Linked DNA regions of Danio rerio. The protein of the gene in region 1 purifies or fractionates together with the protein of each later gene. This does not show direct contact. Links are inferred from orthologs where the notes say so. Each region holds a gene or a part of one and is shown in the gene's direction. Other genes may lie near its edges.

Region 1 (4,046 bases):
AAGTGCTCAGTGTGATGTACCTGTACTATTGAATAAACAAGTTCATGAATTGCAACAAACAAGCAAGCAAATGAAAAGAATGTGGATGACATTAGCAATTTCAATCACAGTCCAGTTGTTTTGGTAGCAGAGTGTTAGTATTAACAGCAAATATTAATATTTAGATTTATTTATTCATTTATTTTCCTTCGGCTTAGTCTCCTGATGCATCAGGGGTCACCACAGAGGATGCTCTTTCAGCTGCAACCCAGTACTGGGAAAAATCTTTACACACTCATACATCATATGCTCATACATTATGGCCAATTTAGTTTATTCAATTCACCTACCGACACGAATATAGAGAGAACAAGCAAACTCCACACAGAAATGCTAACTGACTAAGCTAGGCCTTGAACTAGCAACCTTCTTGCTATGAGGCGATTATGCTACCCACTTTGCCACCGTGTCGCCCTCTATTTTGAGTTACACTCTTCATTTTATAACATAAACTTAACCTTTCTCTCTTCTCTCTTGCAGAATGTGTTGGCAAAAGCCCTGTATGACAATGTGGCGGAGTCTCCAGACGAGTTGTCCTTTCGGAAGGGCGACATCATGACCGTGCTGGAGCGGGACACGCAGGGCTTGGAAGGCTGGTGGCTCTGTTCGCTGCATGGCCGGCAAGGAATTGTTCCTGGCAACCGGCTGAAGATTCTCGTTGGCATGTATGATAAGCAGCAACAGCAGCAGCTACAGCAGTTAGCGAACCAACCCAGCCCAACCCAGAGCCTCATCAACCTGCCTCAGAGTGCCTACAACAAGATACCCCCTGCAGCCCAGTACACGGCCATGCACCCCGCCTTCACCCCCTCTGGCTCTGCCAACTCCACCAACCCAGACGGCGTTTACATGCTGCCCCCCAGCCATGGCTCTAGCCTCTACCAGGTGCCCTCCGGCCCCCCGACTCCACAGCCCCAACCCAAGGCCCCCGCTTTAGCAAAGAAGCAAACTCATGTGCAGTACCCTCCCACTACACAGGATGTCTACCAGGTGCCCCCCTCCATTAACGCACCAGGCCAGGACATCTACCAGGTGCCACCCGCTGCAGGAGGGCAGTGTCCCGGGCAGGACGTGTACCAGGTGCCACCCTCTGTGAACCAGACACAGGATGTTTACCAGATTCCCCCATCTTTAGACAGGAGCTGGGACTCTCCCAAACCCATGGGGAAGGTAGGGAAAGATCCTTTTGTATACACATATATGTAACACGTTTTCAGACATTTACTTTCATAATAAATAGCTTAACCTAAAAGCTGTATTTAATTTAATTTAATTTAATTTAATTTAATTTAATTTAATTTTATTTTATTTTATTTTATTTTATTTTATTTTATTATTTTATTTTATTTTATTTAACTAAATTTTAAAATTTATTTAAATTATTTTATTTATTTTAATTATTTTATTTATTTATTTATTTACTAATTTTTTTGTTTATTTATTTATTTATTTATTTACACACTTGAAATATTATTAATAATAATAATAACAATAATTTTTTTTAACCTCTAAAATATGTGATATTGTGATATTGTAGACAAAATTTAAATATCATTATATATTAAGTATTAATTGTATTGTATTAATTATTATGATTATGAATATCACTATTACTACTGATATTATTGCAACTATAATTTTATATTTTTATTTATTCTTTCATCTTGTAATCTCCAATTGATTTCTTTTAATGATTAGATTTAGATATATAATAAACATTTTAAAACCACATGAAATCCATCTTTTTTTTTTCCTAAACCATATTCCATGTCCTATTATTAAGAATTGACTGGCTTGTGTTATTATTATTATTTATTTATTTATTTTTATGAAAACATTATAAATAAATAAATAATTTTATTATATGTATGCTTTAAATTTTATTTTATTTTCATTATTTTTATGTTTTAAGTATTATGTAGTGTATTTTCTATCCTATTTCTATCCTACATAATTAATTGGTGAATATAAAAAACATTTGATGATAATAAATAAATGTTTATAATATAACCTTCTCAACTGTTACACTTTAAATTCATTTTTGTTGACCATTTTCATACATGAACTTGTGTGATAAAATATATAATGAAAAACATACAGAAATATGATGTGAGAAATATAGACTGACAAAAGGAGGGGTTATGAAGGAGGAGTGAAAGATGGTCATAAATAATGCAGAGTTTGATAACGCCGCTGACCGTGGGCCACACAGAGTGAGTAAGCAGTTTTTTTGAGTGGTAACTTCAGGTTGAAGCTATGGGCAGTGACCGTCTTTTGAGAGAGTGTTTCAGGCCACTCTTAGGGCACTGAGCCATACTGTATGCAGTGGAGAGGGAAATCAAGTGTAAAGATGGAGAGGTTCAGCTGCAGGCCTGCTCTGTGTTGGCCACCTGTCATATCTGATCTACCTACAGCAATAGTGACTCAGTGCCAATGCTTCTGCTCATCCTGTTCACTGTTATGTAGGTTTTTAAAACTGTAGCATGCTAATGTTGTTCATGTGTATTGCGCATCATTACTTACATGTTGATTACATAATAAACAACTGAAAGCAGGCAAGGCAACGCCATGGCGCAGTAGGTACTGCTGTCACCTCACAGCAAGAACGTCACTGGTTCGAGCCTCTGCTGGGTCAGTTGGTGTTTCTGTGTGGAGTTTGCATGTTCTCCCTGCATTTGCGCAGGTTTCCTCGGGTGCTCCGGTTTCCCCCACAGTCCAAAGACATGCGGTACAGGTGAATTGGGTAGGCTAAATTGTCCGTAGTGTATGAGTGTGAATTAGTGTGTGTGAATGTTTTCCAGAGATGGGCTGCGGCTGGAAGGGCATCCGCTGCGTAAAACATGTGCTGTATAAGTTAGCGGTTCATTCCGCTATGGCAACCCCAGATTAATAAAGGGACTACGCCAAAAAGAAAATGAATGAATGCATGAATGAAAGCAGGCAGGCAGTTTTAACTACCATGATGCATATTACCTTCTCATTGTGTGGAGAGTTTCCATTGCGAGAAATGACTGTGGTCACACCATAATACAGTATCGGGTTATACAGGGTTTCCACAGATCTGGAAAGGATAGAAATTTGACAGGGTAATTTCCAGGGATGGAAAAGTCAAGGAAATTAATAAAACATATCCTGTAGTGCAGGGTCTGGATCATGAGGGCACCGCAGGGAATTTGTCAGCTGATTAAAAATATATAAAATCATGAATAAAAAAGCATTATTAAAATTTTGAAATATTTATGTTTATCCATATGTCAGGAGATTTTTAAGAAATTTTAAGACAACATAAGGATTCTTTAATAATAAAATAATTTGAATATTAAGTAAAGATCATGTTCTATAAAGTATTTTGGTACATTTCTGACTGCAAATAAATCAATTTTATTTTATATCATAAATATTAACTTTATTTTATATCATAAATATCATTATATATTCATTCATTCATTTACTTTTTAGCTTAGTCCCTTTATTATAAATCAGGGGTCACCACAGCGATATGAACCGCCAACGTATCCACCATATGATTTATGCAGTGGATGCCCTTCCAGCTGCAATCTAACTCAGCGAAACACCCATACACTCCTGCATTCACACACAGACACTACGGCCAATTTAGCTTATTCAATTAACCTGTATCGCATTGGACTGAGGGGGAATCCAGAGCACCCTTAGGAAACCAACGCAAACTCCTTACAGAAATGCCAGCTGACCCAGCCAGGGCTTGAATCTGTGACCTTCTTGCTGTGAGGCGATTGTTCTATTCACTGCGCCACCGTGATGCCCCTATCATTATATGTGAAATTCAATATCATTGGAAAACTCACACTTGCATTGAAATTGACATTTATTACTGGTTTATGGTTTTGTGGTCTAGGGTCACATATGTATTTAAATTACTGAAGTAGTAGGTTAAAATGTACACTCACCGGCCACTTTATTAGGTAAAGCTTACTATTACCGGGTTGGACTCCCGTTTGCCTTTCGAACTGCCTTAATCCTTTGTG
Region 2 (4,046 bases), on another chromosome or scaffold:
ACTGTTCAAAAGAAGTTTATCATTTCATTTAATCATTTATTGCTGTGATTTAATGATGAATTTTCAGCTTCATTACTTTAGTCTTTAGTCACATGATCCTTTAGAAATCACACTGTTGTTGTTGTTGTTGTTATAATTATTGATGGTAATAATAATAAAAGCAAGAATAAGAAAGCAGTTATTTAAGATTTTTATAAATATTTTAGAATTTAACAAATTTTCTTTTTATTTAATAAATGCCGCCTTGATAAACAGAATAATTTTCTTTAAAAAAAAAACATGAAAAACTTACAATTTACAGTTGAAGTCAGAATTATTACCTCCCCTTTTAATTTTTTCCCCCAATTTCTGTTTTAACGGAATAAAGATTTTATTAAAAACTGTTATAAAAATAAGTTTTAATAACTCATTTCTAATAACTGATTTATTTTATCTTTGCCATGATGACAGTAAATCATATTTGACTAGATATGTTTCAAGACACTTCTATATGTGACATTTAAAACCTTAACTAGGTTAACTAGGCAGGTTAGGGTAATTAGGCAAGTTATCTTATAATGATGGTTTGTTCTGTAGACTATCGAAAAACTTATATAGCTTAAAGGGGCTAATCATTTTGATCTTAAAATGTTTTACAAATTTTAAATTGCTATTATTCAAGCCGAAATAAAGCAAATTAGACTTTCTTTAGAAGAAAGAATATTGTCAGACATACTGTGAAAATTTCCTTGCTCTGTTAAACATCATTTGAGAAATATTTAAAAAAGAAAAAAAAAAAATCAAAGGGGGGCTAATAATTCTGACTTCAACTGTATATTAGTCACATTAGCTATAATTTTAAATGTCTAATACAAAATATTTATTTTATTCCAGTGGTTGAAAAGAATCTGTAATCTGCCATTTGCAATGTTTTGAAATATATGTTGATTATAGGACATACTGTATGTTTTATATATATGAAATCAAAATATATGTATTTATGCTTTAGATTTTTATATAAGATTCTAGTTCTCAAACTGCATTATTTAGCATGTTCAGAATGTTCAGAAATGTGTATTTTGTAATGCACAATTCAGCAGATTAAAATAATAATCATAAAATACAAAAAAATGATCATTTCATATATCTAACCTTTCATTCAACAATTTGACTTTCAAAGCTTGGTGCTAATGTGATTACAAAAAGTGTGTACTCTTTAAAAAGTTTAATTATAAAAAACAACTGTTGTGTTATTTAAGCAAATCTGCTTCATATACAGGTCAAATCTGAATAGAGAAAATTACATATATAGAAATAATATAAAATATATATATATATATATGTTTTTTTTTTGGTTTTTGATCTGTTAGTTGCATGCCTATATATATATATATATATATATATATATATATATATATATATATATATATATATATATATATATATATATATATATATATATATATATATAAACAGTTCTGTTATTCAAGCAATTCCGCTTCTCATAATTGAGGGCAACTTTGAAAATGGCAGGCAATAAAATTAAAATTTTTTATACCAATTACTGTGGAGTGACTCTTCTCAATGGTGGACATTTCTCAATGGTAGTCTCTAAGAAATCATTGACAGTACAGTTTATATTTGGAAGGGAACAAGTTCAACCTGTCCAAATAATTGAAAAACATTATTTATGCTGAACCGCTTATTTAATTAGCCCTGGCCTGCAGTGTGACAGATCCACAATAACGACAGCTTTTAAGCATTAAAATGCATAAAGTAAGTGAAAACCTCCTTCGTGACAATTCAGCATAAAACTTTTGGAAACAATGTCAAATTCAGCATAAAACTTCTAGAAACAATGTGTCAAAACAGCTCACCACTGTGCAGATTTTAAAAAACGATAGCGCAGACTGGATGCCCTCACACTAACTGAGAGACTTTATGGAATTTATACTTTGAAAAATTCATGTCACGCCACAAGAAGCCCAGCAGAATGAATGCAATTAAAAGTGGTGTAAACTTAATACCAGCCTAAAAGACTTCTAGAGAAGAAACTAAATAACTTGTCTTTCTCCTTCACAGCAACAAGGATAAATGTGGAAGTCAACCAGCATGTCTAAACCACGTTCAGGAGAGGAGACGGCCGCTGAAGACCCATCAGTCGGAGAGCTTCCTCCCTATCGGTGAGTTCCTGTCAGCTCTCATCCGCCTTGATTCCCCGTCACGCCGCTGATACACACATCTGACAGCCCTGAAAACCACTCATCTTCCTCGCATTCGCTCTCAGCCAAAGTGAAAACGATTCTCAAAGTCAAGCTGACGTTCCCGCCTTTGAAATTCACTTCGGGTTACTGAACGTTAAACGTGTGAAATGAGACGTGGGATTGAAATGCAAAAATAAAATGTTTTGTGGAAGAAACTCTGTGGCAAAGAATGAAAGCGGAGATGGAGATAATTTATGCCTGCGTCAGTAGAATAAATATGGTTATGTGAAAAACGCAGTTTTGCTGTCCATGTCAGAAAACAGAGAGCTGAATCTGCTTTGCCGTGCAGAATGCCAATAGAAAACTTCAGATCGGCAGCTTCCATCTTTCTTAATCCATTTACAACAGATAGTCTGTGAAATAATGAAAAAAAAAACAGTGTGATTTTTTTTCATGTCAAGTCCAGAAATACTTTTATATACAGTTGAAGTCATTACTAGCCCTTATTTGATTTCTTTCCAAATATTTCCCAAATTATTTTTTAACAGAGCAAGGAATCTTTCACAGTATTTCCTATAAGTAAAAAAGTCTTATTTGTCTTATTTTGGCTAAAATAAAAGCAGTTTTATTTGTTTGAAAAACATTTTAAGATCAATATTATTAGCGCTCTTATTAGCAATATTTTATTTCAAACATCAGGGCCCAGTTTTCACATACATTTATTTAGATCAGATTTGAAAATCCCATGTTTTGCTATCCAGGATTTACTGATCCATCTTACTTTTATAACAGTTTTAAAGAAGCCTCAAATGGAATCAATTGTGTAGCCTACTCTCTTAGCAATAAACAACAGGTAGGCAAAGTACCAGTGGCCACAAACAGCCATTGTTTGTTTAATGGTAAGAAACAGAAACACTGCAATCAACAAGGATATAACATTGTTTACAGTAGTGTTCTAATACAATACTGCTTTAATATTGTTTTGCTGTTTTTGTTTACCGTACCGCATTAGATGTGACATGCTTTATATAGACTTTAAATATGACAGAATTTATATATCATAAGTAACCATTAAGTTTGTGATCATTTACTTAAAAAACAAAACCTTTTTTATTTTATTTGGTTCAAAAAAAGTCGAAACTGAATCCACCCTTGTGATGGGATGAGGATAATCCTGTTTTTTTGTGTCAAATAGATCCCAATTTGAGTTCAAAGTTTTACATAACCCAAAGGGCAGGTTTGATTTAAATCCAATGTAAGATTGAATTACGTGGTCTGATCTTAATACAAAATTCCTGTTACTTTTGAAAATCCCATTTCCAAGATTTGATCCAATCCGTGATCCAAAATCCCACTGGATTACTGTTGAAAAACTGGGCCCTGCAGAATAAACTATCGTTATACAGTGACTTGCCTAATTACCATTACCTGCCTAGTTAACCTTATTAACCTAGTTAAGCCTTTAAATGTCACTTTAGGGTGCATACTTGTATGTTGGAAAATATGTGGTAAAATATTATTTACTGTCATCATGACAAAGATAAAATAAATCAGTTATTAGAAATGAGTTATTGAAACTATTAGAAAATTGTTTTAAAAATATTTCCGTTAAACAGAATTATATAAATTATGTTCTATCAAAATATATATGGGGGGGGGGGGGCTAATAATGCTGACTTAAACTGTATATATCTTACTGATATTATAATAAGCCTTAAACATATTGTTTAATTGTATTGTTAAAATCTCTTTTAAGCTTTTTTTGGGATTTATCCTTTCAAGTAATGTGTGAAACATGACTGTCTGTGAATTCAAAAGGTCTTCAAAGTTTCAAAGATCAAAGTGGACAATAAAAGGGAGATA
Region 3 (4,046 bases), on another chromosome or scaffold:
CTTTTGAACATTGATTTTTTTTCGTCTTATGTGCATTAAGAGGTGTGTGTGTGTGTCCGTTTATGCATTTTGCGCTTTTCTTCCTGCTGAATCTGTCCCTGTAGGCATGTTGTTTTAGAGCAGTCTTTACATGCAAGGTTTGGCCACACCCCATATGAGCGAAGTGATTTCACCATCCTCGTCCTGTGGTTCATAATTATCCCACTGTTCCAGGATCAGATCCAGACCAGGAAGAGACATGTTGTGAAGAGACTTGACAAAGAGTTATTCAACAACAAGCCGCTTGATTTCTGATAGATTTATGTTGTTTGCAAAACCAATGAAGGGAATGTGAATCTAAAGCGCATATCAGAATTCTGGAAGCTCTTGGAATCAGCAAATTGTTATAAGCTTTTTTTGTTTTTTATGAATGTTTAAGGGGTGTGTGGCATGATCATGGGCGTAAATCTGATTTAACAGTAGGGGAGACAGTAAACATAAAATTTCTTTCCAGCATTTTTTTGAAGGGGACACAAATAATACAGCCGATTTGTACTAAGAAAGAAATGTCCCCGCAGTTCAAAATGGTTTCATCATTATTAGTATAGCATGGAGACTACGCCATTATGATTAGCTTTAAAGTTTTTCTCAGGTTCAATAACAAAGCAAATTTTTCTATTTTTTGCATTGTTTGTTGTGTTGTTTACAGTCAACAGACTGACTCCTGAAGCAGAATAAATTGGAAGGGAGGGGATATGTCCCCCCCATCCCCCCCGGGATTTACGTCTCTGGGCATGATATTATACAGTGCTCAGGGTAAATGAGTACACCCTCTTTTATTAAACCGTTATGTCCGTTAAAATACGAGTTTGGCCACCTAATATTATTTAGGAATACAAAGATAATTCATTTTATTTCAAAAGAGTTATTGCAAATTAAAAAAACTAATAAATAGAAATGAACAGTTGAAGTCAGAATTATTAGCCCCCCTTGACATTCTTTCTCTTTTTTTTATATTTTCCAAATGATGTTTAACAGATTCAGGAAATTTTCACTGTATGTCTGATAATATTTTTTCTTATTTGTTTTATTTCAGCTAGAATGAAAACGTTTCTTAATTTTTTAAACACCATTTTAAGGACAATATTATCATCAATATGATCAATATTATCATCCCCATTTAGGCAACTTTTTTTTCGATAGTCTACAAAACAAACTAGGGCTGCACGATTAATCGAAAAAAGATCATGATCTCGATTCGACCCTACACACGATCTTAATTCAGCTTTTCTACCATTCAGCCAATCATATTTTCAAGGTCAGGAGAGAAGCTTAAAAGTGGTCGCACAAGTCTTCACAGCAACACTGACACCTTCAAATGGCGTTAATGTTGTTTTAATTAATGTTATTTTTCATTTTAATTAAATTAATTAAATGTAATTAATTATTTTTTATTTAAATTATTTATTTAAATTAATACATTTTATTTTTTGAATTAATAAATAACATTTATAAAAAATAATTTATTTATTTGTTTTATTTTGTTTATTTAGTCTTTAAATTAGCTGTTTTCTTGATTAAAACCATTGCTTTATTTATTTCTACCTAACAGATGCTCTTCTCGCGGATTTGGAGTCCACAACCTCCCACATTTCCAAACAAGGTGTTTTTCTGCCAGAAGAGACGCCATATTCCTGCCCCAGAGGAAGCGACTCTTATCAGGACGTGTCGTCTCCGCCTCGAGTAATCTCCCCTCCTGCTGAAACTCTGAATGGATCTTGGGTAGAAAAACCAGAATCAAAGCACTCATCAACCCAGGTAAAATGCATCATCATTACTTCCTGAAGGGTTTTCTGTTGCTCTTTATATGAGTCTCCTTGGTTATCCTTTAACCTTATGACAAATACCAGATGCGGCCTGTTCCACTTTCTGCTTGTTTTGCCCTCAAGCAAAGCACTTCATCTTTGGTTGCTCCAGAGGCTTGTGCCATTAAGCAGGTTCAGGAGATTCAAGGTTATATTTGTTAGATCTGCATAATACATCTAAAAAGTATCGTTATCTTGATAATAGTATATGCAATATACAGTTGAAATCAGAATTAGTAGCCCTCCTGGATTATTAGCCCTCCTGTATTTTTCCCAATTTCTGTTTAACGGAGAGAGGATTTTGCAGCACATTTCTGAACATAATAGTTTTAATAACTCATTTCTAATAACTGATTTCTTCAATATTTACCATAATGACAGTACATAATATTTTACTGGATATCATTTCAAGACATTAGTACTCTGCTTAATGTGACATTTAAAGGCTTAACCAGTTAAACTCTGCGGACCCGGTACTGGGTCCGTGACGTCATCAACTTTCACTTTAAGATTTAAAGGGCTAGCATTGCACCAGACCCCCATAAGTGGTTTCGTTTGAAAGTGTAGAATCTATATTTTATCCACATATGCATCACTTTGGTTTTTATTCTATTGTACAAAAGTTATTTACTCTTAAATACACAGTATTTTGGATACCCGAGCTGGGTATTGAACATTGTTTCATTTTCATATTGTTCATATATGACACATGTACAAGTTATAGCTCAAATGAAAGCTCTTGCCGGTGCTCATACGGTTCTAGCATTCTTTTTACTGAATTATATTCACATATTAAATAGTTTTCGAATGAATCGCGGTGTCTCCATGGCGCAGGAGTAAAAGCAATACATTTATGACCAATAAGCAGCCCCAGATAGCACAGACAGCTGTCATCTCTTACCTTATGCTGTGCTATTCAGGGCCAATTCTCCACTGTTTTTGAGGTGATGTGTTTTGTGTTTACCTCATGGTTAAAGTTGGTGCACGTCTGCCGGTTCCTGCCTCAAAATGAGCGAGTTTAAGCCACTTGTACATTAAGGAAGCGTTCAGAAAAAAAACACACCAGTGAAGAAACTCGACACAGATGAACAAACACCTCACTGCCAACCAGCGTTTTTGCAGAACAACAGAAACAGCGCGCAGAAGTCTAAACGCACAGCTACGCGCGTTGCATGCGCCGTGGGTCATGCCAATCACTTGACACAGGAGTATAAACCAGACTTTAAGCGGCTGTATATCTCTTCATAGCAATCCCTAAATTGCTATTAGCTATAAATAAGCAGGGGAATTCTCGAGATCTACCTGAGCTCAAACTCCCCTCTTGTCCTGCAAACAGGAGGGAGCCCCGTGCTCGAGGATCTTCTGAGCTCTTATGAGCTGCCAAATACACTTTTTAATCATCAGCTAAGTGTAAACTCTTGAAATGACTTGTAATTCTGAAATTTTAGTTCTGATTTGGTAAAAAGTATTTTTATTATTTGTTTTACCAGGTGAAAAAAGTCTGAATTATTAGTGAAAATGTTGCAATTTAATTTGCTTTCATTTGTAAAGTTAATGTACTTAATTGTAAAACATTTTTCTTTTCTCAGTCTTTCAACTCCGCCCCGAAAAGCAGCAGCCCTCGCGTGTCGCAGTCTGAGGAAGAGCACGTCTACAGTTTCCCCAACAAACAGAAGTCGATTGAGTCTCCCACCGCCGTCATGAACTCCTCTCTGGGCAGCAACCTGTCAGAACTGGACCGTCTGCTGCTGGAACTTAACGCTGTGCAGCACAGCACTCCCTCTTTCCCTGCTGAAGGTCAGTTTGTAAAGCACCAAATCATCACATGTGCACTTTTGACATGGATATCAAACAATCTAATAAAGTGTTTCCCGACCCTGTTCCTGGAGGCACATCAACAGTACTTGTTTTGGATGTCTCCCTTATCGGACCCTTTCATTCCAGGTTTTGCAGTCTCTTCTTATGTTCTGATGAGGTGATTAAGGAGTGTTTGATTAGAAAGAGGTTGAAAATGTGTACTGTTGGTGTGCCTTCAGGAACAGGGATGGGAAACATGTTTTCTATTGTTTATTTATTGGTTGGTTAGGGTTATAACTGTTCCAGATGTGATGTCTTGGGTTTGACAGTGGCTGCATCCAAAATCGCATACTTCCATACTATATAGCATGTTAAAAACAACATCCGAGACAAGTAGTATGTCCA

What was found. The genes of interacting proteins can lie anywhere in the genome.
Region 2: the proteins of bcar1 (region 1) and bcar3 purify together in Homo sapiens (co-immunoprecipitation; 4 studies listed by BioGRID and IntAct, counting the BioPlex papers as one, with this or other methods). This does not show direct contact. The link is inferred for Danio rerio from reciprocal best matches to the Homo sapiens genes BCAR1 and BCAR3.
Region 3: the proteins of bcar1 (region 1) and pxna purify together in Homo sapiens (affinity purification with western blotting; 3 studies listed by BioGRID, with this or other methods). This does not show direct contact. The link is inferred for Danio rerio from reciprocal best matches to the Homo sapiens genes BCAR1 and PXN.

Annotation. Positions count from the first base shown.
Region 1 is NC_133193.1:24,021,870-24,025,915, forward strand, and holds part of bcar1 (breast cancer anti-estrogen resistance protein 1), read left to right. Parts: intron 1-519; coding exon 520-1,209; intron 1,210-4,046. UniProt on the Homo sapiens protein: Docking protein which plays a central coordinating role for tyrosine kinase-based signaling related to cell adhesion. Implicated in induction of cell migration and cell branching. Involved in the BCAR3-mediated inhibition of TGFB signaling.
Region 2 is NC_133183.1:16,860,634-16,864,679, reverse strand, and holds part of bcar3 (breast cancer anti-estrogen resistance protein 3), read left to right. Parts: intron 1-2,061; coding exon 2,062-2,162; intron 2,163-4,046. UniProt on the Homo sapiens protein: Acts as an adapter protein downstream of several growth factor receptors to promote cell proliferation, migration, and redistribution of actin fibers.
Region 3 is NC_133180.1:7,365,242-7,369,287, forward strand, and holds part of pxna (paxillin a), read left to right. Parts: intron 1-1,532; exon of another isoform or gene 1,533-1,591; coding exon 1,592-1,797; intron 1,798-3,433; coding exon 3,434-3,641; intron 3,642-4,046. UniProt on the Homo sapiens protein: Cytoskeletal protein involved in actin-membrane attachment at sites of cell adhesion to the extracellular matrix (focal adhesion). Recruits other proteins such as TRIM15 to focal adhesion.